Linked DNA regions of Coturnix japonica. The protein of the gene in region 7 purifies or fractionates together with the protein of the main gene of each other region. This does not show direct contact. Links are inferred from orthologs where the notes say so. Each region holds a gene or a part of one and is shown on either strand. Other genes may lie near its edges.

Evidence for each region.
Region 1: the proteins of UPF1 (region 7) and ALYREF purify together in Homo sapiens (co-immunoprecipitation; 3 studies listed by BioGRID and IntAct, with this or other methods). This does not show direct contact. The link is inferred for Coturnix japonica from reciprocal best matches to the Homo sapiens genes UPF1 and ALYREF.
Region 2: the proteins of UPF1 (region 7) and XRN1 purify together in Homo sapiens (affinity purification with western blotting; 4 studies listed by BioGRID and IntAct, with this or other methods). This does not show direct contact. The link is inferred for Coturnix japonica from reciprocal best matches to the Homo sapiens genes UPF1 and XRN1.
Region 3: the proteins of UPF1 (region 7) and SMG7 purify together in Homo sapiens (affinity purification with western blotting; 7 studies listed by BioGRID and IntAct, with this or other methods). This does not show direct contact. The link is inferred for Coturnix japonica from reciprocal best matches to the Homo sapiens genes UPF1 and SMG7.
Region 4: the proteins of UPF1 (region 7) and histone RNA hairpin-binding protein purify together in Homo sapiens (affinity purification with western blotting; 4 studies listed by BioGRID and IntAct, with this or other methods). This does not show direct contact. The link is inferred for Coturnix japonica from reciprocal best matches to the Homo sapiens genes UPF1 and SLBP.
Region 5: the proteins of UPF1 (region 7) and EIF4A3 purify together in Homo sapiens (co-immunoprecipitation; 8 studies listed by BioGRID and IntAct, with this or other methods). This does not show direct contact. The link is inferred for Coturnix japonica from reciprocal best matches to the Homo sapiens genes UPF1 and EIF4A3.
Region 6: the proteins of UPF1 (region 7) and UPF3A purify together in Homo sapiens (affinity purification with western blotting; 5 studies listed by BioGRID and IntAct, with this or other methods). This does not show direct contact. The link is inferred for Coturnix japonica from reciprocal best matches to the Homo sapiens genes UPF1 and UPF3A.

Annotation. Positions count from the first base shown.
Region 1 is NC_029533.1:4,445,422-4,449,608, reverse strand, and holds the start of ALYREF (THO complex subunit 4), read right to left. Parts: upstream 2,801-4,187; 5' UTR 2,711-2,800; coding exon 2,480-2,710; intron 2,289-2,479; coding exon 2,157-2,288; intron 78-2,156; coding exon 1-77. Other genes in the region: ANAPC11 (anaphase-promoting complex subunit 11), read left to right, coding at 2,886-2,994, 3,215-3,360; NPB (neuropeptide B), read left to right, coding at 3,502-3,699, 3,976-4,104. UniProt on the Homo sapiens protein: Functions as an mRNA export adapter; component of the transcription/export (TREX) complex which is thought to couple mRNA transcription, processing and nuclear export, and specifically associates with spliced mRNA and not with unspliced pre-mRNA.
Region 2 is NC_029524.1:8,847,450-8,851,674, forward strand, and holds the start of XRN1 (5'-3' exoribonuclease 1), read right to left. Parts: upstream 2,801-4,225; coding exon 2,510-2,800; intron 397-2,509; coding exon 164-396; intron 1-163. Other genes in the region: serine/threonine-protein kinase ATR, read right to left, coding at 3,251-3,424, 4,094-4,199. UniProt on the Homo sapiens protein: Major 5'-3' exoribonuclease involved in mRNA decay. Required for the 5'-3'-processing of the G4 tetraplex-containing DNA and RNA substrates. The kinetic of hydrolysis is faster for G4 RNA tetraplex than for G4 DNA tetraplex and monomeric RNA tetraplex.
Region 3 is NC_029523.1:4,337,830-4,341,329, forward strand, and holds part of SMG7 (protein SMG7), read right to left. Parts: intron 3,072-3,500; coding exon 2,952-3,071; intron 2,581-2,951; coding exon 2,148-2,580; intron 1-2,147. UniProt on the Homo sapiens protein: Plays a role in nonsense-mediated mRNA decay. Recruits UPF1 to cytoplasmic mRNA decay bodies.
Region 4 is NC_029519.1:76,098,016-76,101,109, reverse strand, and holds the end of histone RNA hairpin-binding protein, read right to left. Parts: intron 2,976-3,094; coding exon 2,826-2,975; intron 2,268-2,825; coding exon 2,183-2,267; intron 1,530-2,182; coding exon 1,413-1,529; 3' UTR 501-1,412; downstream 1-500. UniProt on the Homo sapiens protein: RNA-binding protein involved in the histone pre-mRNA processing.
Region 5 is NC_029518.1:14,287,432-14,291,440, reverse strand, and holds the start of EIF4A3 (eukaryotic initiation factor 4A-III), read right to left. Parts: upstream 2,801-4,009; 5' UTR 2,718-2,800; coding exon 2,546-2,717; intron 2,462-2,545; coding exon 2,389-2,461; intron 2,303-2,388; coding exon 2,236-2,302; intron 1,224-2,235; coding exon 1,161-1,223; intron 813-1,160; coding exon 680-812; intron 10-679; coding exon 1-9. Other genes in the region: NINL (ninein-like protein), read left to right, coding at 3,333-3,400, 3,490-3,627, 3,908-4,009. UniProt on the Homo sapiens protein: ATP-dependent RNA helicase. Involved in pre-mRNA splicing as component of the spliceosome. Core component of the splicing-dependent multiprotein exon junction complex (EJC) deposited at splice junctions on mRNAs.
Region 6 is NC_029516.1:123,396,221-123,400,294, forward strand, and holds the start of UPF3A (regulator of nonsense transcripts 3A), read right to left. Parts: upstream 2,801-4,074; 5' UTR 2,774-2,800; coding exon 2,637-2,773; intron 1-2,636. UniProt on the Homo sapiens protein: Involved in nonsense-mediated decay (NMD) of mRNAs containing premature stop codons by associating with the nuclear exon junction complex (EJC) and serving as link between the EJC core and NMD machinery.
Region 7 is NC_029543.1:2,808,894-2,812,393, forward strand, and holds part of UPF1 (regulator of nonsense transcripts 1), read right to left. Parts: exon of another isoform or gene 3,127-3,500; intron 1,902-3,126; coding exon 1,759-1,901; intron 1,380-1,758; coding exon 1,290-1,379; intron 758-1,289; coding exon 590-757; intron 205-589; coding exon 24-204; intron 1-23. UniProt on the Homo sapiens protein: RNA-dependent helicase required for nonsense-mediated decay (NMD) of aberrant mRNAs containing premature stop codons and modulates the expression level of normal mRNAs.

The DNA.
Region 1 (4,187 bases), on a different chromosome or scaffold from region 7:
GCTGTTCCTAGACTGCGTCCGGATCTGTCGTAGTGCACTGCTGCCTTCTTCAAGGTCCCAAATTCCGCAAAGAGTTCCTGAGAAACAGAGGGAGAAGTGAATATGCTTCAGTCAGCTCTGCAAACACCGAGCAGCCCAGAGAAGGTGCAGGCAGCTCCTGCTTTCAGCAATATCATGTACATTCCATGACACCACGCAAATAGCACCAGTGAAAGAAGGAACACAGGCCACTAAAGACTTCCAGAAAGCAGCCACAGGTGGCAGAAACAAACAGGATTTCATATCCACCACTTGAAGGGTGCTTGTATACAGCCAACAAAGTGGCCCCAAGGTATGCTGACCTGCTCCTCTTCCCAGGGACATTGCCAGTCTGTATAAACTGAAAGCAGGAAATCTTCTACTGAAGAGCATCGTTTACCATCACGAGCGATGGAAGGCTGCAACAGTGGAGCCACCCATTTTGTTTCACAGAGGCTACATCTAAGATGTACATCTGGGGACATCTCACTACTTTGCAAGTTTATACCTACACCCCACTCTTCAAATGTTTGAAGCACACAGAATTGTCAGGTGTCCAAAGCAGACACCACAGGCTGCCTTCCATATCACCTGCAGCAGAGCCCAAACACTATTCCAGCCATCTCTATAATTCCTATCCAAGCATTTGAAAGGAGCATATAAATATTTTCACTTCTTAAGCCAGCTGCACTTTATGCAAGCCTGTCAGTGAGTTTCTCTACTGTGTCCATTTACTAAACATGAACATACAGCACCCAACAAGCTTTCTGGAAGACAGCACCACATGGGAGGAGAGGTGCTCCATCACATCCCTGTCCTGCAGAGAAGCTGGAGCCACAGCACCACACATACTCCTACAAGAGCAACGTGAACGAGGCTCCCACCAAGCCCCTCATTCCTCAGCACTGAGCTGAGCAGAACCATATTAATGACACAATCAGCACAGAAACAAAGAAAACAATCAGTGCAGCTTAGTGGAAAATTACGGGATGGGCAGTAACAAAGAGGTACAAACCCATTAAGTCAGCTTTGCTGCTACATATAATATACACAGATGTTTGTCTGCTCCTGCAGTTCAAGCCAACTGTGAAAAGGAAACATTCAACTGCCACACAAAACACATTAATTCCTTACATTGAGATAACTTTACAGATTCACTTTTACACGTTTGGGCCTGATTACAGCAAACAGGAAATGTATATCAACTGAAACTAAACTCACTTGAGGAAAAAACAGTGGTTTTAAGTGCATCGCTCAATAACTAGGTGACCTAAAAAAGCTCACTTCCAATACTCCTGATGCAGACAGGTTGAACCGGAATGAATTAACAGAAGAAAACATAGAAGTGATTTAGTTATTTTTTTCTAGAGGAGATGCAAGGACCAGAAACCATCCAAAGCTCTTTGCAATGTGACTAAGTCAGGAAAACCCTTCAGATTGGATGCTCCTTGGATCTGCAGATGTTTCTGCACAACTTGTTGCCCACAAGTAAGAGCAGCCCCACAGCTGTGACTGCTGTGTCACAGGCACAGTGACTGCAAACAGCCTGCACCCAGGGCACAGCTGGAACAAGGGATTGAGCTGCAGCTGGTAACTCAGCTAGAACATTTATCTGTCATAAGATACATGTGGTAATTGTGGAAATGACAACATGAGCGAGCAGGTACCCCCTCACAGACCAGACTTCTCAATATCACTGGTGCTTCTATAAGAACACCTTGAGACTGAACAAAACTTTAACAAAAAGTACATAAACAGGTACTATGAAAACAGCGCCAATAGATGTATATATAGAGCTACTGAACGTCTGGAATTACACAGACCTTAAAAGCTCACACAGCCTGTGCTAAGCTCTGCAATCACAGCAGGACTGAGCGAAGGCAACATCCCCCCCACAGCATCGTGGTAGAGATATTTCATATGTGATTACCTACAGCTCCATAAAGACTGGGACTCTTCTGAATCCAGCCACTCCAACTGCTCAGCTCAGAGCCCCAGCAGTGCGTGAAGCAAAGGGCCAGGCACCGTGTGAAGGGCCCTTCCAATGGGAGCAGGGCCAGCAATGCTCTATGGCCACCCCCAGCACCCAGCACCGATGGAATGAATGAAACCCCCCGGGAACAGCGCCGAGCCCGTACCTGGATATCCGCATCTGAGACGCCGAAGTCCAAGTTGGAGACGAGCAGCTTCCCGCCGGTCTCCACCCCGGCGCCGGCCCCGAAGCCGCTGTCGAACAGATCGTGCTGCCACTTCTCGGGGAGCTGCTTCGGCTGGAACGACACGGACGTTTCGCTGAGCGCCGCCGGGTCCCGCCGGGACGGCTCGACCGCCGGCAACGGACAAAGGGCCGCCCGTCCCACCGCCCCCGCCCCGTCCACGAACCGCCGCCCCCCGCCCCGCACACCGGCCCCCTCCCTCCGGGCCCCGCCGACCGGGCTCCGCCCCCGCCCCCGTCCCGTACCCGGCTGTACGGCGCGGGCCGATTCCTGCCGCCGCCCCGGGCCATCACCGGCCTGTTCCTCACGGGGCCGCCGCCCGCTCGCCCGGCTCCCACGCCGCCCCGACCGGGCCCGCCCCCGCGGGTGACGCCGCCTCGGCCCCGGCCTCCCCGGCCGCCGCCCCGACCGCCGCCGCGTTGGCTTCGGTTGAGCTTAATGATATCGTCCAGGGACATGTCCATCTTGTCGGCCATGATGGCGGCTCCGCTCCGGGGCCTGCGCTTCCGGCCGCGCTGCGCCGACGCCGGAAGCGGAAGAGGCGGGACCGGCGGGCGGAGGCGCGCGTTCAGATTGGCGGGGCCTCGTGGGGGCGGCGGGCGGTACTTCCGGCGGGGCGGCGCGGACCGGAGAGCGGCACTTCCGGCGGCGATGAGGGTGAAGGTGCGGAGCTGGAGCGGAGTCGCCTCGTGGCTGTGGGTGGCGAACGACGAGAACTGCGGGATCTGCCGCATGGCCTTCAACGGCTGCTGCCCCGACTGTGAGTGCGGCGGGGCCCGGCACGGTACCCGGTCCGGTACCGGGTATGGTACTCGGTATGGTACCCGGTATGGTACCCGGTCCGGTACCCGGTATGGTACTCGGTATGGTACCCGGTCCCGTACCCGGTCCGGTACCCGGTCCCGTACCCGGTACTGTACCCGGTATGGTACCCGGTCCGGTGCGACCCGGCCCTTCCTGACTTTGTGTCCACGCCGCAGGCAAAGTGCCCGGGGACGACTGCCCGCTGGTGTGGGGGCAGTGCTCGCACTGTTTCCACATGCACTGCATCCTCAAGTGGCTGCACTCGCAGCAGGTCCAGCAGCACTGCCCCATGTGCCGCCAGGAGTGGAAGTTCAAGGAATGATCCTCCCCGCCTCCTCCCGCCGCTCCGGTCCCGGTTCCGTGGGCGGGGAGCGGCGCTTTCCCTCGTGCTGCGCGGCGGGGGCGGCCGCGGCCATAAAGACCCGGAGCGGCCGTTCCGCAGCGCTGCGCCCCCGCCGGCACGATGCGAGCCGCCCGCTGCCTGACTCTGGCTGTAGCCGTGATGCTGCTGTGCCGCCCCGCCGCGCCCTGGTACCGGCAGGCGGCCGCTCCGCTCTCCTACCCGGTGGGCAGAGCCTCGGGGCTGCTCTCCGGTCTCCGCCGCCTGCCCTACAGCCGCCGCTCCGACAGCAGAGGTGCCGCTGCTCCGCTCCGCACCGCGGTGAGTACCGGGATGCTCCGCTCCAGGAACGGGCTGGTACCAGGAATGCCCTGATTCCAGCAATGCCCTGATTCCAGCAATGCCCTGATCCCAGCAATGCCCAGATCCCAGCAATGCCCTGATCCCAGCAATGCCCTGATCCCAGCAATGCCCTGATCCCAGCAACGCCCAGATCCCAGCAATGCCCTGATACCAGGAACACCCACCTGCCCGGCTCCGCGGGCAGCCCTGCTCCAAAGTTCCCACCCAGGAATCTCTGTGATACTTTCCCCACAGGTGCCGTGTGTGATGGATGTGGACCCCAAGCTACGGAGCTGTCGGCTGCTATCGGGAGTCCCCGGTGCTCTGCAGTGCAGTGTGGCTGTAACCGTGTCCTTGGGCTCCACAGAGTGTGGGGGGGCCTGAGGTGGCACGGTGACTATAGTGACAATAAATGCACGTGGAATGGAAAGATGTTGTCTGTCCTTAAGGGGAGGGAAGCCTTTGGG
Region 2 (4,225 bases), on a different chromosome or scaffold from region 7:
TAACATCTTAGTGGCAGCTACCTTCATTTACCTAAAAATTAAAGCCACTGTCAAAGGCATTGCCTGCTTACAATATATTTTATTTGTCATAACATATTTTTAAGTATGTATTTGCAAGAAATAATTATTATTCTAAAGACAGAGCAGGAGCAAATATTCTCACCTAAACCGTCTGCCACGTTGCTGATTCATTTTTGCTCTTGGGGCTACACCATCAACTGCCATGAAGAAAACCTTCCTTGGCTTAATAATGCGAAACAGTACTTCTAAGTAGTGAAAAATGTCAGCAAAAATCTTATCTTCGGATATTCTGAAGTGAACATCATCATCGTTTGGATGTGAACACTGGTGTATAATGCCATTCATGTCCAAGTATAAGTTGTCAAATTCTGGAATCTAAAAAAGCCACAGTTAGTACTCAATGGGAGACGGATGAAGCATTGCAATCACTATGCAAGGTATGGCTGAGTCTGGAAATGAATTGAGGTGGAAGATTTCCCTGTAATGTACTGTGCACCAATGCAGTATATATATATGAAAAATAAACTACCTAAGCAGCATAGTTACGATATGATTTTAAAAAACATATTTTACATGACAATTGCCTTTTATTATTATTATGAGCAGCTTTGTCTTTAATAGCATACAGAAGGAATGATGTCGCCTAGATAAGTGGTCTACAGTGGGCAAAAGAAGAGGAAACAAAAATAAACCCCAACCCAGATCAGAAAGTTTTCCTCCATCCCCCTCAGACAACACTGCCGAAGAAAACACTCAGAAAACAAGCAGTGGGGCACTGCACATAGAGGAGCAGCAGGGATCACTGTGCCAGCCTAACCAGTCTATCCAGGCTGCAAGGAGCCTGAGTAAGGTATGTGACTGACAGCAAGTCACACACAAACCATCTTTTACTCAAGAGGAGACACAACTCTTCTACTATGTTTACAAAGCAAAGTGAACACCACCTTACATTTCAGATTGCTTTTGAAGGGCCACACAAAGCACCAAGCAAACCGCTGTTAGAACTTAGCAATTTTCTTTCTGTTGTGATGGAATTTCCACAGCTATCACAGATTTTATTTTGTTCTTATTTTGTCAAAAGGGGAAGGACCAGTTCAGTCATTAACAAGCTCGTGAAGCTGATACAAAATCCAATCAGCAGAAATAAACATTTCAGCATTAAAAACTCAAGCATTAATTGCAATCCACTCCTGATTCTGTCCCCCAACTATCCAGAATTCTTCTGAACCCAATCAAAAGGCGTCAGACTGCACAGAAGAAACCTCTCCAAATCCTAGAACACGGACCAAAGGTCAACGCTTCAGGACAGAAATGCTTGCCAGATTAAGTGATAAAGCAGATGGTCTAAATACTTCAATAATGTTTCCCGGTGCTTCAGTACCAGACAGCACGGCACTGAGTACAAAATCAACTCAAGGGGCATCAGACTTGGATATTTCAGGGTTCCTGTTGAAATAACAAATTCTTTGTTGCGCAGACATGATGATAGCACAGTTTAGTCAATGCTCTGTTTATAATTCGTAATAAATGGGACATCAGATGCATGCTGGCAAAAAATGCCACCTGATGCATCTTGGCCACAGCAGGAAAAAGCTGAAAGTAAATTTTCCAAGCCCTGGAAAAGCTGAGTAAGCAGTTATCAGCCAGAGAGGCTGCCTTCTGCTGCCGTGAAAGAAAAGGAAGAATACGGATACATTTTACTGTTCTGGGTCATAAACAGCAGTACAGACACTTCCCCTCCTCCATAAGCGGCAGATACTCCGCACACAAGGAAGTAACAGCACAGACACTTCAGATGGACCGTGACTGTGACACGGCCGCCCCGAGCAGCGCTTTCTGTTTCTCTTCCGCGGGGCGACACGCAGCGCTCAGCCCGCCAGGACAGCAGCCGGGGAGCCCAGGGAGATGCTGCAGCTTCATGGGAGGGCCAAGGGACCGCTCGAGAGCCGAAGGTGCCTTAATACAACAGCTACTGGGTCACCTGAAACACTACGTGTCTAGAAGCAACGTTCACACACTACAACGTACCGCCTCCCCTCAGAACGTCTTTATTTAGCTATAAAACCACGTCGGTAACACCGGCGGAAACCAACAACAAGAAACGGACTGAGACCAGCTGTTACCGACGGCGGTTTCTCTCAGCAGGGTCTGCCCGCCCGACTCTCGGCGCTGCCGATAACGGAGTTACCGAGCGCGGCACGGAGCGAACCCGCAGCCGGCGAGGCCGGGAACAAAAGGCACAAGCGGGGTGTGGGTATCAATACAGCGGGACGACGGCGGGTACAGCAGCACTGCCTGCGGCCGGGGGCTCCGGGACCCCCAGTGCTGGGGCAGCGAGCACCCCGACCTTCAGGGGCTTTCGCGTGCCTCCCTCCCTCCTTCCCCCGCCGTCAGGCTGCAGACCAGCCGGCTCCGGCCCTCACCCCACAGGGCCCCTCCGCAGCGGGAAGGAGAGGCGGCGGGCCCCGAAGCCCCGCTTTGGTCTTACCTGATGCTCCTTCAGCACCTGGCTGAGGCAGGGGTACCGCTCCGAGATCCACCGGTAGAACTTAGGGACCCCCATGGCCGCCGCTCCCCGCCGCCCCGTCGGACCCAAACAACCCCAGCCCCGTTCCGCTCCGTTCCGCTCCGCCCTCCTTCCGGCGCACCGCGCTGACAGCAGCACGCGCCATAGAGCGGCGGGCAGAGCGGCGGGTACACACTGCAGCGCCCCCTGCCGAGCAGCGCCGCGTATCGCTAACGGTAACAGAGCAGCACAGCCCTTAGAACACACCAACATCGGGCCCTTCTTTTCAGGTACGAGGCAATGCAGAATAAAGTTTAAACAACCAATTCTCAACTGTGTCAGTATGAAATTTAATGTCAACTTTTTTATTCTACAGCCAAACTGAATGAGAAAACCTTTACAAAATTATACAGTGTTTTTGAAGTTACCATACATCCTTTCAACACCAAGAATTGACCCAGAGTAGGTTTGTACCTAAGAAACTTGCAAAGCCTTGTACATTCTATTTAACTTTTAATGTGCTGCCCTGTATATGTAAAGAACACGTAAACGCATTCATATTTCCAAGTGCATATTCTACATAGACCAGATTGGTCAGAAGCCAGTATCAGTGCTTACAAACAGAAAACACAAGTAACCAGTTAACACTCATTGATACCTTCTTAAGAATATCACAGCTTGCTTCACCAGTTGTGAATGGCACCTCTCTGAAGCAAACAAGTGTTACATATATGGAGCCCAGCCCATATACATCTGGCAGAGCAGATTGTCGTCACTTGCTTCTTGAATGAGGTAATGAACGTGCCCTTCAATAGATAAGGGTAATCCTTTTATTCTGTTTCTAGTCTTAATAACACCCTGTAGGCGTTGTTCTATATCAAGGACGTGGGTTTTGGCCTAGAAACAAAGAGAAAGGAAGAAAAAATGAATATTGCTACTGTTCATAGACATCTTAGAAAGTCTTCATTGTGATATCTGCAATCAGCACGTTAACTTAATACAAGACCCAAATGGCTGCACCAGTGAAAGGTTTATTTATCACTTAAAATGAATAGACTACCCGTTGAGTTACAGCTTTTTGCCTTAAATTTTACAGATGAAATTTAACAGAACAGACTGGAAAAGCTACACAAAAGTACTGGGAAATGTTAGGATGTTTTATTTCATAGAACTGCTTGTAAATAAATGCATGCACATGTGGAATGCTTTTCAGGTATTACCAGCACTTAATTCAGGAGCACATGCATGTCTTAGAATATGGAAAGGCAAGAGCCTTGCCCACCCTCTGTTTTCTGTTGATGTTATTGATGGTTTAGTAATACTAATGACAAAGTTATGAATTTTGCTTTGCTTGGTTCTTTAGTACATAAATTATATTCTCCACCAATAAAAAGAATATTTAACCTTAAAAAGGGATACAGACTAATTAGAAAAAATACAGTAATTTTTAAATGAAGGAAAATGAATAAAAGGAAAATTAAGCTTCCTATTAGAAAATACACAAATTGTACCAGCAATGGACAAGTAACATTTGAATGCTTTATGCTGTATTTGTTTTCAACCAACCTTTTCATTGACAACTTCTCCAGTTTCGTTCACCTGTGCTTTTGTATTCCCTTTAACAGGCTTACTCCACTCCACAAGAGGATCATGAAGAAAAGTCTTTAAGACACTAAATAAAAAAAATAATTAAAAAAA
Region 3 (3,500 bases), on a different chromosome or scaffold from region 7:
CTGAAAGCTAACTTACTGAATTTGTTTAATCAAGAAAGACATATTTCAATTGCTTCCCTTGCTTCAACTTGATCTCACCTCAGAAGCAGCAATACTACCAAACCTTTACATCCCTACTGGTCTTGAGGCTTCCCACCTAGTGTTTGGGTGAGGCACCATTTCCTCCCAGTGGCCTTTCAAAAATACAATACCTTGAGTAAGTTCTGCATTATATCTTTCTTTGCATCTAGCATCATCACCTCTACTGAGGAAAATCAACCTGTGCCACATTTTCATGATCCTGTGCATGCAATTTCCCCACTAATCCACGAAACAGGATTAATTACTTCCCTACAGCATTCTTAACATTTTTGCAAGGTAGGATCTGCAATGACTGTAGCTTTGAGGCTTTTGAATCGACTACGAAGTAGATAAAGCTTAAAGTTTCAAGGAAAGAGAAAGCAAGTAGACCTCTGACTGGTACAGAACCTACACTGGCTTTTTTTCAGCAGGGGAAGGAGAAAACCCTCCCCATGTTCTGCAGTAGATATGGGTAAATAAGTCCTCCCAGTTGTATTAAATAAAAAAAATTCTGTAATTGTTAATGTAAATAGAGCTGATCAGGCTAAAAAGTCAAGGTTAATAACTAGGAAACAAGAGATGAACACTAACCAGACAGATCAGAACACAGTATGCTACAGTTGGATTTGAAACGTGTTTTGGTGGTTTTATAAGTCTTAAAACTAAAAAAAAACCTTTAAAAAAAAAAAAAAACTAAAAAAAAAAAACCAAAACAAACCATTAAATATTTGATGGATCAACTAAGTCAAAATGACAGCATCTTCCGTATGCAAAAAACCACACAGACTTATCAGAACATCATGTTTTTTCAAGTCCTCCTTTTTCAAGACTGCGGCACAAACACTGAGCCTGGGATTTATGCTCAGGCCTGCAACCACATTCCAGACATGTTCAATAAATTCCTGTTATTCTAACTCACCTACCTAGGCTGTTTTTCAGGTACCAGTCTCTTGTTCAGTGACTCACAAGCAACTGCCACATGGTTTCTGCAAGCTACTCTCCTTCACACCAGCAAAGGCCTTGCCAAAAAATAACAAATGCTGCCAGTGCAGACCTTCCAGCTCATAATGACAATGCCTAACAAGAAATAATCAGGAGGATAATAAAAATGATTCGAGGGTCCTACCAATGCAAGCTATAAAGGCTCAAAGAACTGGTTTGTCTAGACTAGGGAAAACAAGATCTTGCAAATAAGGCTATCAGAGAGTAGAAGTAGTTGGCTTACGCAGTGGCAAGGGAGATAAGTGCATAAGGAAAAAGATTTTCCTTGTAAGAATGGTGAAGAACTCACACAGTTTCTCTAGAGAAATAACAGCATCTCCCCATCACTGTCATTAAACTCCTCCAGACAATACCTGGAAACGGCTGAGATACAGACAAAACTCTCCAGGTACAGACTAGATAAACCCTGAAATTATCACTACACCCCAACGGAAGCCAGAACAGTAAGTTCTGCTTAAAAGGTGACCATTTTTTGTACACAATGCTCATGTAAGTGCAGGAAAAAACCCACACCTTCGAAAAACACAAGTAGAAAAGAACCGCTGATGTGATAACCAACAATTCTGAACAAGGATGTGAGCAGTCTAATTGCAGTCTAAAAGCTGTGTGGCTTTCTTTACTTTCAAGGAGGTCTATCTGACTTCACATGTAGTACAGTGATGCAGTCAATTTATTGAATGTGCAAGCAACTGAACTGAAAATGCAAAGTACCACCCAGCTCCTTCACAGTAAAACACAGCTGGGAAAGAGTGTGACTAGGACCTGGTCATGCAAGCTGCTCTGTTAACCTGACCAATATGTGGAACAACAGCTACAAGTCCTTGCTCTTTAAAAACATGAACACACAAAATTTTACTTTTCACCACTCCTCAACTTTTCCTCCCCCCAAAATTGAGACAGCATTAAGGAAAGGGGCAGAAATCCAAAGATAATTAATGACTGGTCTCTGAGGTTCTTTGCGCAATACAGGTATCTGCAGGATCCATAGAGACCTCAGTTCTACAGTATTCTGTGCAAGCAGTGATGGCCCTCACTCAAATATCATACTGCCTAAGATACAGTGTCCCTTTGATCTCAAGGCTTACCTGAACTGCCACATTCTGCTTTCCTGCTTCCTGTATCTTATCCACACCGCATTTCTTTGTTTCGGTCTTTCTTTTGTTGTTATCCTTCTTTCCATCATTCTTATTGGCTACTATTCCTTTGCTATAGTCCCGTCTTTCCCTACCCACATCCTTAGGAGGATAGATTCGCCCTTGCTCTCTGTTCATTTCCCGTGGCTTAATATTTTCTTTAAACGTGACCATTGGTTTTTCTCCTGAGTCACAGTTGTTTAAACTTCTGCCAGATGACAGAACTGATTTGAGTCCAGGGCTCCCATCTGTGGACAGCGGCTCTGCAATAGATGTTTCCTGCAAGGCGAGGCTCTCTTTGGCTTCACTAGGGTCTTCTAGTATTAATTCTGGGATTTCAGTCAAGAACAACAGCTTTCCCACCTCATTTTCACACTGAATCAGCCTGAAAAAGACAGAGGAATTGAAAAGCAAATCCAAACAGGTTTTCATGTAGTAATCTCACACATTAGCACTCTTGCTACTGCTGTTCCTCTCATCTCAGCTTTGCTTCAGTATCACTATGAAGGCCTTATCAAATATGATGTTTCACTACAAATACATTCCTATCAGAACTAGCTCATGTAACAGCATACTAATTCACAGCACGTTATTAGTGCTGCCAGTCTTTCAGCATCAGTGAAATGTGTACACCTTATATAAAATTGCTCTTTAAAATAATGAGAAAAACAAGTTCACCTCTGTCACTTGTACTGCCTAAGCTTACAGTAGCAACTGAAAAATCACTATTTGCTACCTAAAGCTATTTGTGATTACCTGGGCTGGTTATCAGCAATCCATTTGCCTGTGAAGATCAGTCGCTGTTGCCGTATCCGACGCTGTTGCCCTTCTTTGTCTCCTGTAATTGCCTGGTGGCCTTTGGAAAAATCCAAGTTCCTAGCATTGAAATAAGAGAGGGAATAATATCAATTACACTGCTCCCCTCAGCAAAACCACATTCCTTTAGAAATACAACCAGTCAGTATTACTTTATCATAACTTCTGGTACTTCACCAGATCCCACTCAAAATGAGACAGTTACAGATGTCTGAGTTACAGATTCAATTCTCTACGTTAAAGATGCATATTTTTGGAGCATGACATTAGTCACAGGACACAGATGAAAGCAAAATTATTTTCCTCATTTCTTATTTTTTTCCCTTTCAGTTTATAGTAGCCTGAAGACTGCAGAAGAGAAAGTCATAAGCAATTCTGTAAGCTTATAATTTTCCTCAGAGCTTTACTGTAGACTGGCACAGAACTTATTTTCCTCTTCAAAAATGGAGATCAAAGCCCTGTGTTATCCATTCCACATAGTAGCACAGG
Region 4 (3,094 bases), on a different chromosome or scaffold from region 7:
ACACAGCAAGACAACACCAAACTAGATGGTTTGGGTATCTCTGCTTATTATGGCAGGTGTACAAGCAGCATAAGCAACTGCCACCAGTTGTTAAGTGGCACAGAGGCAGAACCACATGAAGCCTTGATGGGCTGATGCCAATCACATGCATTCACTATTAAATAAGAAAAACAAAAGCAGAATATCTCCCAGTAAGTAGTCATGATTCGTAATCGCGCTCCCATGCAGCTTCACATGCAATTTTCAGACCTACCATCCAAGTTAAAAGATCTGCCACAGAGAACAGTCACAATGATACCCAGGCAGTCAGGTTTTGAGGCCTTTACCTTTCAGCTAGAACACAGAAGCCTTAAGGAGCAGCACCGAATGATTCCATACAGACATGGACAAGCGTGGCTTGACCTTAAGACCACCTTAACCCCACAGCACAGATACGTGACCTTCAGTGTTTCCTTTGTGTCATCCACAGAACACCCGTAGTGGGAAAAGAAGCTTGGGAGTCATAAAGAAATCCATATCCATTTATTTTCCAGCAACATCCCATACAAAAGCAGTAGAAACATCAACTGCATTCAGCAGAAAGTCTGTACAGTGTTATCATTTACAAGTTTTACATTTAAAAACCAGCAAATTAAAAAGAATCGGTTATTTTCCCCAGACATTTTTTGCTCTTGTCTGTATTAACAAGTAACTCACCACTATTTACAAGTTCCAAATGCAGGTTATAGTATTTTTAAAGTAACATTACTGCTACCTACGTCTTTCCATATTGACGCTTCATATTAAGTACTTTCTTCCCAGTTGTTTCAAAAACATTTTTGTAAATGAAAACAATCTGTGGTTTGTTGGGTGGTTTTTTTTTTGTTGTTGTTTCTTTGCTTTTATAAACTAAGGCAGCCAAAACTGAAGTAACTGCAACAGACAAATGTGCTGATCAGCAACATGCTTCTGCTATCACCTGCATTACATCCAGGCAGATCTTTGCAGTAGGGACAGAAGGAGAAGCAAAATGACATATGTATGATGAAAAACCTTTCCCTGCTCTGCTCTGGATCTGCTGGTGAAACACTGGAATTAAGGATAACAAAGGGAAAATAAAATGGCAAGATCTTGCCCCATTGTCTGTAATTCCTTGAGGGTTGCATTGCCTTCAGCTGTTATTTTATAAAGTTTTGTTAAAAAAAATATTAAAAAAATATCTGATATACATAAATTAAAAGGTAAAAAGAAGCCACACTGTTGAATTCAGACATAAGTTTGGTCCAGACAACAGGTAGACCAACCACAGCTTCACTTTTTAACTTTGCTTAAGATTTCTTGCTATTGACAGGTGGAAAACGCTCAACTGATGAATCAATCTAATGCCTCAGATTTCAAACAAACTTGCTCTAAAATGATTTGCACAGAACTATTTAACTCACAGTATTTAAATCTTTAAGAGGCTCGCTCAAACATGCTTCCAAGTCAAATTCGCCTTCTGCTTGATAGTCAATGTGTCTAACTTTGGTGGGAGTGCCAGAACAGGTATCCTGGAATACAAAGTCAGTTAAAAAACAGGAGTTAAATGCAGGTTTATTGATGCAATAATTCACATTATCTTCTTCTGCAGTTCATTTAGGCCACTTTGTAACAGAGGCTTACAAACTCTTCTTTAAAGGCCATACAAAAACCTAAGGCTGGTCTTAAGACTGACAACATTCAAATGAAAGCTTCTGTCCATTCATGCACTTTCTATTGTTCAGTCCCTGAATATAGCAGATTATGGAATCTCTCATGTGTTCAGGCCATTCAGAATCATAGAATCATAGAATTACCCAGGTTGGAAAAGACCTTGAAGATCATCAAGTCCAACCGCAGCCTAACCAGTACCCTAACTCTAACAACCCTCTGCTAAATCATATCCCTGAGCACCACATCCAAATGGCTCTTAAACACAACCAAGGGATGGCAAATTCAACCAACCTCCCTGGGGAGCCTATTCCAGTACTTAACTACCCTTTCTGTAAAGAAATTCTTCCTAATATCCAACCTAAACTTGCCCTGGTGCAACTTGAGGCCATTTCCCCTCATCCTGTCACTTGTCACTAGTGAGAAGAGACCGCCCCACAGGTTATTCAGGTTGTAATTCTAATGACTGGACAGATTATTAGCAAATATTTATGCAAATAAGAGGTTTTCTTACATAATTATCTTGACAGCTCGTTTGAGATTCTGTAGAATTGCTTCCTATGGATTCTGTCTCCATCTCACCGAGGTCAACAGGACTACTGCGAAACAATTAGAAAGCATACACATCTTAGAGCAAATCATAACTTTCAGTAGGAATCCATGGGTGCACTTGTGAATAACAGTTAAACTTCAACAGTACCTAGAGTTGATTTTACAAGTATTTCTCTACTCCACTCAAGAAACAAGAATATACCACTGTTCTTGAACCAGTAAGCGAGAAGGTTGTAAGGCATGTCCCAGCACACTGTATTGGTCTGAGCTCAGAGAACTGCCAGTCAATCAGAACTCCACAGTACTGCTTCTAATCCAGATTGCTCTGCAAAAACCAGCCTGTCTTACTGGCATGATTTTTCCCTTTAAAGAGCACTGTGGTATCGACTCTGATTTCATCCACTGGAGATTCATTTTAGAAGCAAAGGCTGCAATGCCATTCCTACCAAGTACATACTGAAAGCTATTTCATATCACTGAGAAAGAACTGAGTAACACTCAAGAGCACTAACCATGGACTTGTCTCATAAATGGCCACGCTGTTTTAATGTATCTATTATATATATCTTAAATATATCTATTTATTTAGAATATTCCACACGTACATTTCTTGCAGATCACATCCTTCTTCGGTCGGTGGATCCCAGGAATGCAACGCAACTTTCCACAGCTTTATTTGTTGGTCCCACGACCTACGGCTGTACTTCTTAAATTTATTTGGAGTTCTGGGATGAACTCCTGGTATACGATGGCATCTATTCAGACATGGGGAAGATAAATTAATGCTTTCCACACAGACTTATCATACAGATGAAAAAATTATGACAGTGCTGTAGACTGCTTGAAAGGCACATTATAACCATTCAACCCAGGA
Region 5 (4,009 bases), on a different chromosome or scaffold from region 7:
GGATCATATCTGTAAGATTTCACTTTGTAAGATGAAAAGGCTCAGAAAGCAAGTGAGCCTACACTGCTCCCAGCCGCTGTCAGTGCATTTCACTGGAGGAGGGACTGGCACTTCCCCTGTTGCCAACAGAGACTGGTGTTTGGTGATGGAAAAGCAGAGCCAAGTGCCACAGTGCTCCCCAATACACCCTGCAACCAGGGGAAGTGGACACAGAAGAGAAGGCTCCAGGGAGACCTCACTGCAGCCTTCCAGTAGTGGAAGGGAGCTTATAAGCAGGAAGAAGACAGACATTTTACATGGGCATTCTGTTTCTTGTTTTGAGACTCAAACAGACCCAGCTCCTATCTCTTCCACAACACTGAGATAAGCCCAGGATTGCAATATTATCACCATTAATAATATTGTTTTCTATGGCACGATGTAAACAACCACTTTGTTAATAAAAGCAAGGGATAAACAGATAATCCTAATTCTTTCCCCAATGTTTGCTTTCTCATCTCTTCCAGCTACTACTACAGTGAATTTACCCTTTGTTGCTCTTCATCACTGCATACACTGATGGTATCACAATAAATGCAGTTTCCATGCTATTCCAAATCTAAATGCATTAAATTTGCAGGATGGTCCCATGGCTCAACTGAAGTGTGAACATGGAAGCACACAGTCTCCCAGCTCTTACCAAACACCCGGCCTGGAGTGCCAGCAACAACGTGCTGCCCATAATCCAGCTTTCGGATATCTTCACCCACGTTGGTCCCCCCGATGCAGGCGTGACACTGGACATTCATGTAGTCTCCCAGAGCAAGAAGACCCTATTTGGACATAAATAATGAATCAACTGAGCTCTTATGGCAGGCTTTCAAAGGCTGGGGATTTGGTTTATATCCCAGGAATCACAACTACTTTTAAAGAGTACTGTACTTAGAAATCCAGGTAGGAATACGTAAAACATTAAGACTGCTAACTAACCCATCCTGTAAGGACCAATGGATATAACACAGAAGGGAGAAACAGCCCTTCATTGGGATTTCTTATTCCATTCAGGACAACGCATTCCTTTGAAAAGCAAAAGTTGCACTTCTAGCTCTGCTGGGGAACACTTGGAGAATCTGCATCAGTCTTTATAAGTACCGTACAGGCAGTAATTCACATGTTCCTACCTTCTGAATCTGCACAGCCAGCTCTCGAGTTGGTGCTAAGATCAGTGCCTGGGTCTCGCGAACCTGTTGATCACACGGCAGTTCATCACATAGCAAGTACAGTGCAAGCAGAAACAAACAGAATAGAGCCCACAGTACCCTGAATTGTCACATCTGAATGATCAATGGTACAATTTTGCATCGGCACACCCAGAAAGCTGCTCCCGCATGGAGTGCTTACACATTTATAGCCCCTTACATTATGTTATAAGACTGTGCCTGACCACACAATGCATGCCAGAGAAATAGATTCAGCCCTCCAATGAAAGCAAACATAGAATCACAGAATTGTAGGGGTTGGAAGGGACCTCTAGAGATCATCAAGTCCAACCTCCCTGCCAAAGCAGGCTCCCTACACCACATCACAGAGGTTGGTGTCCAGGTGGGTCTTAAATATCTCCAGAGAAGGAGACTCCACCACCCCCCTTGGCAGCCTGTTCCAGTGCTCCGTCACCCTCACTGTAAAGAAGTTCTTCCACACATTCGTGCGGAACTTCCTATGCTGTACTTTCATCCCATTACCCCTAGTCTTATCCCCATGCACTACTGAAAAGAGACCAGCCTCACCACTATGGCTCCCACACCTCAGGTATTTATAAACCTGGATCAAGTCCCCTCTCAGCCTTCTTTTCTCAAGGCTAAACAGACCCAGTTCCCTAAGTCTCTCCTCACAGGGGAGATGCTCCAGGCCCTTCACCATCTTTGTGGCCCTCCGTTGGACTCTTTCCAAGAGATCCCTGTCTTTTTTGTACTGGGGAGCCCAGAACTGGACACAATATTCCAGATGAGGCCTCACCAGGGCAGAGTAGAGGGGAAGGATCACCTCCTTTGACCTGCTGGACGGGACCTTTAAGACCACCTCATTCCAACCCCTGCTATAGGCAGGACACCTCCCTCCAGACCAGGCTGCTCACAGCCCCATCCAGCCTGGCCTTGAATGACTCCAGGGAGGGGCATCCACAGCCTCTGGGCAACCTGTGCCGGTGTTTCACCACCCTCACATAAAGACAACCGCCATGTTCCAAGTATGGCCTACCTGTATGTCCAGGCACTGCAGCACACAGATGGAGAACGTGGCCGTTTTCCCTGTTCCCGACTGTGACCTGAGAACAGAGGTGTAGTGAACTCTCTGCCGTTCCGGAGGTAGCACCCACCCCTCCCCCGCATCCCTCCCCCCCGGCCCACGTACTGCGCGATCACGTCTCGTCCCTTGATGATCTGCTTGATGGCTCTCTGCTGGATGGCCGACGGCTTCTCGAACCCTGCAGGACATGGCTGTTACAGCGCAACGCCGCCATTTTCCTCCCCCCCTTCCCCCACACCGCCTCGGCCTTCCCGCCGCGCACCGTAGGCGTAGATGCCGCGCAGCAGGTCCTCCCTCAGCCCCATCGTGTCGAACGTGGGCGTCACGTCCACCTCCTCGCTCGTCTCGAACTCCACCTTGGTCATGTCTTCCTCCTTCATGATCCGTTTCCTCGCCGAGCCGGTGGTGCCGCCGGAGCCCGCGGACCCCGACATGGCTCAGTCAGGCCTGGTCGCCCTAACCGCGAGCTACTACAATGGCGGCGCCGCCGCACACAGGGCGCTGCGCATGAGCGGGATCCGGCGGAAGAGGTGGGAGAGAGGAAGGGGCGGGGACGGGAGCGAGCGGGGCTTGGAGCTGGGGTCAGGGCTTGGGGCTGGTGTGTGTGTGAGGGGTGGGAGAACTGATCGTGGGCAGGTTGCAATGGGAGGGTGGGCTTTGGCCACCACAGGGCTGGGGTGGGTGTTAACTAGGTCCTGGAACAGGCTGCCCAGGGAGGTTGTGGATGCCCCGTCCTTGGAGGTGTTCAAGGCCAGGTTGGACGGGGCCCTGGGCAACCTGATCTAGTAAAGGTGTATGTTTGGTGGCCCTGCCAGGCAGGGGGGTTGGAACTACATGATCCTTGAGGTCCCTTCCAACCCGGGTCATTCTGTGATTCTGTGATTCTGTAACTAAGGCTCTTGTTGAGATGGGAAGCTGCCTCTTGAGAGCAGTCAGGTGGCGTAACATTAGAGGTGTTGACAGAAAGGAAGAGTGGTTTCACTCAGTGCTTCTGTTTCAGAGACCGAAGGAGCCCGGCAGAGCTGCCTGCAGCCCTGGACAGCACAGCCATGGTGTCACAGAGTGGGCTGCAGCGTGCAGACATCACCTCCTATACGTACAAACTGCAGTGCCTCAAGTAAGGGTGCTGCTCCTCGTGAGGGGCAGAGCCTCCATTGGGCTGCAGGAGGTGTCTCTGAGCTGAACGCACCCTTGCTCTGCCTGCAGAAGCCAGGTGAGGCGAATCTCCAGAGAGAGGGACACGGCCAGACTGGACTTGGAGAAAGCAGAGAGACGCTGCCTGCAGCTCAGGAGGGAGTTGGACGAGCAGTACATCGCCCTTAACCATAGCCAGGGCAAGCTCAAGTAGGAAGGGTTCTTTTGGTTGAACAGGGAAAATGGGTCCCCACTGTCTCTTCCTCCTTATCCCAGTCCCCCTTTCTGAATATCTCACTTATTTGGACGTTGTGTGAGTGGCATACAAGCCCCTGAAGATCCCTTGTGTGCACTTCACTTGCGCTTCCTGTATCCCTCCAAACAAGTTCTGCTCTTCTGCTTTTTGTGGGGTGAGCATGGATGCCTGGACCTCACAGTAATCTGAGAATGTGTTTCAACTGCTCTCAGACATGTTGCTTGTCTGTTCCAGGGATGCTCAGACTGAAATGGAGGTGAAAGAGCTGCTTTTGCAGCAAGCCATCAGCCATCAAGTGAAGCTGGAGGCTGATGCACGGTTCCTCCAGGGCAAAGA
Region 6 (4,074 bases), on a different chromosome or scaffold from region 7:
TCTCATACGGAAGGTGCTCCAGTCCTCTGCCATCATTGCTATCAAAGACTGAGAAGTCCTGAGTTTAAGTCCCCAATTTAACAACTATTGCAGTGCTTTATCAATCTTCAGTTTCCACAAAACTAACTGAAAAAAGCTACTTCTCCAGCTCAGTGCACAGAACTGCTTGGCCATAGATTTACTTCTTCTGCAGTAACTTGATTTACTTCTTCTGCAGTAACTTATCACTCACAGTTGGACACATAACACTCATGAAAAAGAAATGCAAATACACTTTCCTGTTATTTCCTTCATCTTGCACACCAACACCATCTATTTCCCATCTGGAACAGAAGCACAGTATTTTCCAACATAATATTTTTCTAATGTTTTTTGCTTAGACTTTGATATCAGAGTATCTTTCAAACAAAGAAACACGTTAGTAAGAAAAAAAAAGTGTCTGGAACATGTAAATGTTCTCCAGACACAATCCCTGGAAAGCAGGGATTTAGAATCTGTCTTCAAAATAGGGGATCCAACGTCTTTGAAACACATTTTAAGTCTTCAAGAACTTCATGTCAGCAGAAACATACATAACTACTACAGCATGTTTGTCCACAGTCTGATACTGGTATGCACAGTAGCAAAATCAAATTGGATTCTCACAGTCTCATGCGGGTTGAAGGGACCTTAGAGATCGAGTCCCCCTGGGATTCGGGCCTCCTGTGTAGCAGAGCGGCACTTCTACCACTTGCGCCACAGGGGGATTCAAACCCGGGCCTCTGGTGTTGCAAAGCAGTATTCCTACCACTGCGCCACTGGAGGCACACAACAATGGAGATTCTCTCTCCATTACTGCTGCCAGATATCAGGGTAGGTCATGAAAGCATAGCTGTGACGATGCCTAGAAATTCCACATCCCTCCTCTGATGGAGCTGCTTCTACAAACAGAGCTGGTCCTCAAACACAAGTGGGACATCAGTGCTTAATGTATAAAAGCCTCATCTGTGTGTTTCAGACCCCTTCAAGCTTTTTATCCAACAATAGTATATATCACATTTTCAGTGAGTTCTGCAGTCAGTACCAATCCTGAGGGATGACCCGAGTGCTGCAGGACCATAACTCAACCACTGCACCAATGTTTTAGAAGGCTCAGATACAATCTCACAGTCTCACAAGCTCGTGCGGGTTGGAAGGGACCTTAGAGATCATCGAGTCCAACCCCCAGGATTCGAGCCTCTTGTGTAGCAGAGCGGCACTTCTACCACTTGAGCCACAGGGAGGATTCGAACCCGGGCCTCTGGTGTTGCAAGCGGCATTCCTACCACTGCGCCATAGATGTAGCTCTTTTTTGGCACCTAAGAACAAGACAGATCCAGTAGGCAGCCTCTTCATTGTTAGCTATAGGATACAGCATACTTATCAAACACCCCTAAAGGCCACAGAATCAGTCAGAAACACAGAGTTTTTGCTTGTATTTTGATCCCAATGTACAAGAGAGAAAACTGAACTGAATGCAGTGAATCAAATGTATCAGAAGAAATGAATGAAATACAACACAACAGTCAAACTTTGTGAAATGATTTTACTGAAATGGATGTAACAGCGTTTACACAATAATGACATTTGAGTTATATGAAGTTGTTAAAAGTTTTACAGTTTGCATATAATAAGAACATTATCAAATTACAAGTAACCTTTATCACGAAAACAGTAAAAAAGGAGTTGATATATGTACACGTCTTACAAAAGCATGGAGGTAGGACCACAAATGTTTGTTCTGTCTTCCAGGGCAGACTAAATCCTACCCTTACCTACCTTCACATCCTTCATGGTATTGATGCTGTGTATATGCCTAACAGCCTAAGTCAGGCAAGCAATGAACTGCCACAAAGTTCTACTAAACAGATACTGGTTCCTCTCTCTTTGCGGAACTGACTCTGAGAAAACATATATCTATGTATATACATATATCTATGTGGAGGATGATTCACCACACACAGCAGCAGGCTAAGCTGGGCAAGATGAATCACATCCTTTAATTATTCTGAGCACAAGGACATGTAGCACATTGGATGCTATGATTACTTCCATGGTTAAGTTTGTCTAGAAATCGCTCTGTTCAAAAGGGAATGGCATTTTGGCGCTGTGATGTGCATGTTAAGTAAGTATATCAGAAATTACCTTATTGTCAGTCAACCACTGCTTCGTTTTTACATTTTGAATGAGACAAAAATGAATAAGAGTGGATTACTTGGAAAAAAAAAAAAAGGTATGAAATAAAGACAAGAATACATAAGCAAATTAATAATCGAATGGCGTTCATGAGAATTTAGATGATATTTGCCCTCGGTTGTCTTTATGTCATGGTTTTCATAGGCAATTAACAGCCTAATAATTTTTACCAATTAAAGTTAAAAGCAGGATGACGTTTTCAAACAAAACTATGCTCTAATTGCACCAAAAAATATATATGTTTTAAAACCACGAGTATACAAGGAAGAGGCAGGGATGTATTATCACCGCACATGTATATATCCAAACATTTTACGTAACTTACAAAACAGGCTCCGTGGGCAAAATAAGTAACTTAGGGTCCAAACTTCCTTACTTAGCCTTTAAGCACCTGAAAACCTACACGGACACCTCATCCTCACCTGGGATCAGCAGTGCAAAACTCAAAATAATCATGAGCAGGGAGAGGATGTAGCTGCTCCTCCAGCTGCTCCTTGGTTAGACAAGGAGGAAGCCGTCGAATAACCACCTGCATAGACAAAAGAGAATTATCCTCCATCTAAATAGCACGAAAAAGACCAAATAAATCGCCTAAGTCCCTTCTAAAAGCTCTTCCTTCATCTGGGAGCTGCGGCTGCAGCCTTAGCCTCGGTGTCCCGACAAGGACTGACGCTGGGCGGTACCCGAAGCCCAGCACACCACACACACAGGTGCGTTTCCCTATAGCAAGGTGGGCTCGCTCGCCCTAAACGCAACGGGACTCAACAGCATCGCGCAGAGCACCAAAATGGCCACACAGCCATCGGGACGGTCCGCTCCCACCGCTCCCCAACAGCAATTTCCTTTAAACTCAACATCCGCGGTAACGGGGAAGGCAGGGCTGCCCTCAGGGGGCCGCGGTACCACAGCACCTGCAGCCGCAGCCCGCCACGAGCGAGGCGGTTACGCGCCCCCACAGCCCCAACACCCCTCACTTTGCTCAGCGCCGTTTTTTTCTCATCTCGCTGTTTAACCGGCGCCGGGGGAAGCGGTGGCGCCGGGGACGGCGGTGGGTTGAATGCGGTGTCCGGCTCCCGTCGCAGAGGCACCTCCATGGGCCACTTGTCGCGGCCGCCGCCCCTCACCGCTACCAGCACAACCTCCCGCTCCGACCGCATGGAGCCGCCGCCCGCAACTAGATGGAAAGCTCGCGAGAACTGCCCTTTTGAGGGGCGGAATCTCGCGAGACTCCGCTGAGGGGCGAGAGGAGTTCCTTAGCTCCCAGAGTAGGGATGGTCGCGATATTATGTGGTTGTCTATAACCCTAGTCATGTCTGCCCTCATCCTTCTGTATCCCCATCACCAAAACCTTGAGGACAACAGCAAAGACATCCCACAGAGGTTCAAGATTGCAAGAGAGCAGGTTATGTGTAAGACATGGCTTTAGCTGACATGTTAATCACAGGCTGGAGCAGGACAGGTGCTGGGAGGCACTGGAGATGCAGGTGCAAGGATGAAGAATTAGGCAGAACATGAGCAGATAGAACAGAACTAAGGAAAGAAGCTTCTCCTGAAGTCCTCCCTGAGGTATAGACACAAGCTTAACAAGCACTAACCTAATTCATAGAATCCTAGAATCACAAGGTTGGAAAGGACCTACAAGATCATCTAGTCCAACCGTCCTCCCATTACCATACATACAGGAAACCCCTAAACCATATCTCCTAACTCCCTGTCCAGACACCTCTTGAACACTATCAGTGATGACGACTCCATCACCTCCCTGGGCAGCCATTCCAGCACCTGACCACTCTCTGAGAGAAAAAGTTCCTTCTTATGTCCAGTCTAAACCTCATCTGATACAACTTGTGGCCATTTCCT
Region 7 (3,500 bases):
GGTATCTGAAATGTGGGAAATACCTTCCAAAGTTCTTCCAGTTTGTTAATCTGCTGAGCTGTAATCTGACGTGCTCTCAGCTGTTCCTGCTCAGATGGAATCTTTACCAGCCACGAAAGGAAACAGCGATCTTGGATAAGAGGCTGCCACTGTGAACTGTCCCAATTAATATCCTTTAAACTGCTCTGACTTGCACATGGCTGCCTGCACAACCAAAATATTGGAAAAAGTTATTACTTTGAAACAGCTGTAAGGGAATCTACCAAAGTATAAGAACATGTTTAATGTATTCTTCAAACATATTAAGCATCTTGGTTAAAAGAAGAGAGCCAACACTAGTAGCCTGCTGAGCCAATTCATCAGTTCCTTCATTTGGTATTTCAACACTGCAGAGGCAAGGTATCCTGATCAGAATTTCTTCTGTATTATTAGGACTGAAAAAACTCAGCATCTAAGATACTAAACATGACGTAGGGATAAAAAGGAGAGTATAAAACACTGAGGTACAAAGTGAAAGCTGATGGCTGTCATGTAGAAATCCAGTTGTGCAATACTTAACACAAACACTGTAATAAAGGCATTCTCTCACCTGCACAGCAAAACAACCACAGAGTCTGCCTTAGCTGGAATAAAGCCAAGGAGAAACACATTACGACATCCGCAGTTGTAACATTCCAGGACAGTCTCTCCTAGAGGTCCATCTTTATGGAGAGTCACCTCTTTGCACTTTGCTCTCACAAGATGATTAACAATGTGGCTGAAACCAGAGAGGATGTGTATTTATAAGCAGTCAATATGAAAACCAGATTTAGTTCTAACTTTATGTAACATAGCAACTCAGTCATTATTAAGAGATAAACAAAAACCTATTCATACTTTGGCAGACGTTAGTAATTCCCTGCTCTTTTCATCCAGGCCAAGATGACTGCTGACAGTTTCAGTGTTTTTCCAGTGCATAAATACTTTGAAGTGAATGTGAAAGAAGGGGCAATGTGTAAGAAATTGTTATTTGGAAGCAGCTTCCTGACGCTCCAGAGATCACAGCATGAGTTACGCTGCTCTGCAAGAGCACAGGGGGAAGAAGCAGTGAGCTCACGTCACAAAAGTAATTCAGGTTCCACTGAGATGAAGCTGTAAGCTCATAACAGGAAAAGGTAGAGGTTGGAGGTTCACATTCAAGTCACGAGACTTCAATCATGGTGGAAAATATAAGTCACACCCATTATGCCATTTCAAAACAAACACTAAAGCAAGTTTGCCCATCTAATTTCCATCATTTAATCATTTACCTGCCAGATGTATTTCCACGCCCATTACAGAACCACTTTTTGCTGGTGTTGCAGTAAACCACACAGGCAGGGTCATGGATACCACAGTAACTGGAAATGAAACGAGATGAGGAAGTGGTTGGGAAATTGTTAATAGGAAAATGCAAATACAAGATTTAGAAGTGCACAAAATAAGGCGAAGTGAAAATTAGGAATCATGAGAGTTGTTGGAAGCACCTAACACATGAGTTAAACATCTGGTCTGAGGCAAGCTCTTTAACTATTTCTATCATTACCATTTCTAGGATGGCTCAACTTTGTAGTCCTTAGAAGAAAGGCCCAAGAGCTCAGCAATGCAGCACGGTCAGAGCACGCAGGAGCTCAGCAGGGGGCACTCCCAGCCTAGCAGCAGGCGGTTGCCAGCTCTTAATATTCCAGCCATGCACATTGCACTCAGTGCCCCCACCTTCAGGAAACGATCAGCTCTCACCTGCAAGCATGCACGGGAAGATCCTTTGTATAGTAAGTATCTTCTTCATCTTCTTCAAAATTCAGCTCTGCCAGAAGCTGGCTGGTTTTAGCTACATTATCATCCACTGCTCCATTCTGCAGAATGCCATCAGGTCCATTAACCTGCAGTACAAGGTCAGTGCTTAGGTTATACTATCAAAATATGTTCAGAACAAATGGTAATCCCTACTTTGTTATGTAAAAACTTATCTTTAACTCAGGAAAAAGCTCAGAAGAACATAAAACCGATAAGAGTTTGAAATACACACCACATATAACAAAAATAATCACTTATACATTGTATATATAATCAATGCTTGCTTCATTAGTTCCTATTTGACAGGAATCATGAAGCGTCAGTTCACAAATAGGAAAAATGAATGACAAAAGTCAATTTTTCTCTGAGGATTATCTTCTTCTCTATCCACCAAACCAATCCTCCTCCTCAGAGACTCCAGAAGCGAAGACAACAGGGAGCAGGGGACCAAGACCAGTTCCAATGCATATCTAACTAAAATAGAGCAAGAAAGAACAGAAGCTGGCTCTCAGCACACTGCCCAGCTCTCTAAGCAGCATCACTTGCTCTGTGTGTATCACCTGTATGACATGCAACCAAATAATCCAGGTGTGACAATCCCTACTGTGTTACTCAGAAATTGTTTTAGCCACCATAAAAAACAAAGACGTCTCATTAAGTTACCCAGGAAACACACAAACTCCATTCAAACTAACACAGCCCGAGTTCTCAGAGCAATGCCTTTCTACATGGCTAACACAGCACACAGAACAGGTGTTCCCTCTTTGCACTGAGGACACAACCTGCCAGCACCACAAAGCTCTGCGTCAGCACGTTTGACACATCAAGTCTTACTCACGTTAAAAATAACTCCATTTTGGCAATACTCAGCGCAGTGCTTTTACCAGCAGGAAGGAGCACCAACAGGTGTGAATGGCACAAAGCAGACTTTAGCTTGACTAAAGCAGCCATTGTCCCTTGGGACTCCTGAGCTTCCAGTTCCATTCTGCCATAGTAACCACATCTCTGCAGACTGACAGTCATTGGGGGTGGAAGGGAACTGCAGCAGCTCAACACTGAATAGCATCTTCTTGGCTGTTTCTGTGTGTGTTTCTTAGCACACACAAACCTCTCATCCTACAGCAGAGCATTCAGGCCTGCAGTGATGACAACACGATGGCACCCATCTGTCAGCAGCGGGACCCAGCAGCTGTGCTGCGCCTCAGCAGGCACACAGGAAGGAAGTGGCCCAACTATTGTTCTAAACTCGATGCCATGTTAGTTTGTGTGTGTGTTATTAAAATCAGGCAGCACCAGCTGTTGTGTAAGATTTGGGGGGGGGGGGGCTTCTCTATTTTAAATGTGTTGACTCAAACTTCTGGCACAGCAAGTTTAGCAGCCACACCAAACAACTTGCACGGCTCTGAGAGCTGCTGGTCCCTCCCTGGCTCCTCGTTGGCCTCCAAAGTCCTGCTCAGGAGACAGCAGCAGTGCTCAGGGGAACCGAGCTGCACTACAGCACAGCAGCTGACCCAATTAACACAGCAGCTTGCAGTGACCGCGCTGAGCCCCAGCCGGGTGACAGCAGCTTCCTTGCTGTGCTGCTGGCTGACGTACCCACCCACACACCAACCCATCAACAGGCAACACAGCCATCAGCACAGCTGTACTTTAAAGCTGTCAGGCTGCAGCAAAAGAAACGATGA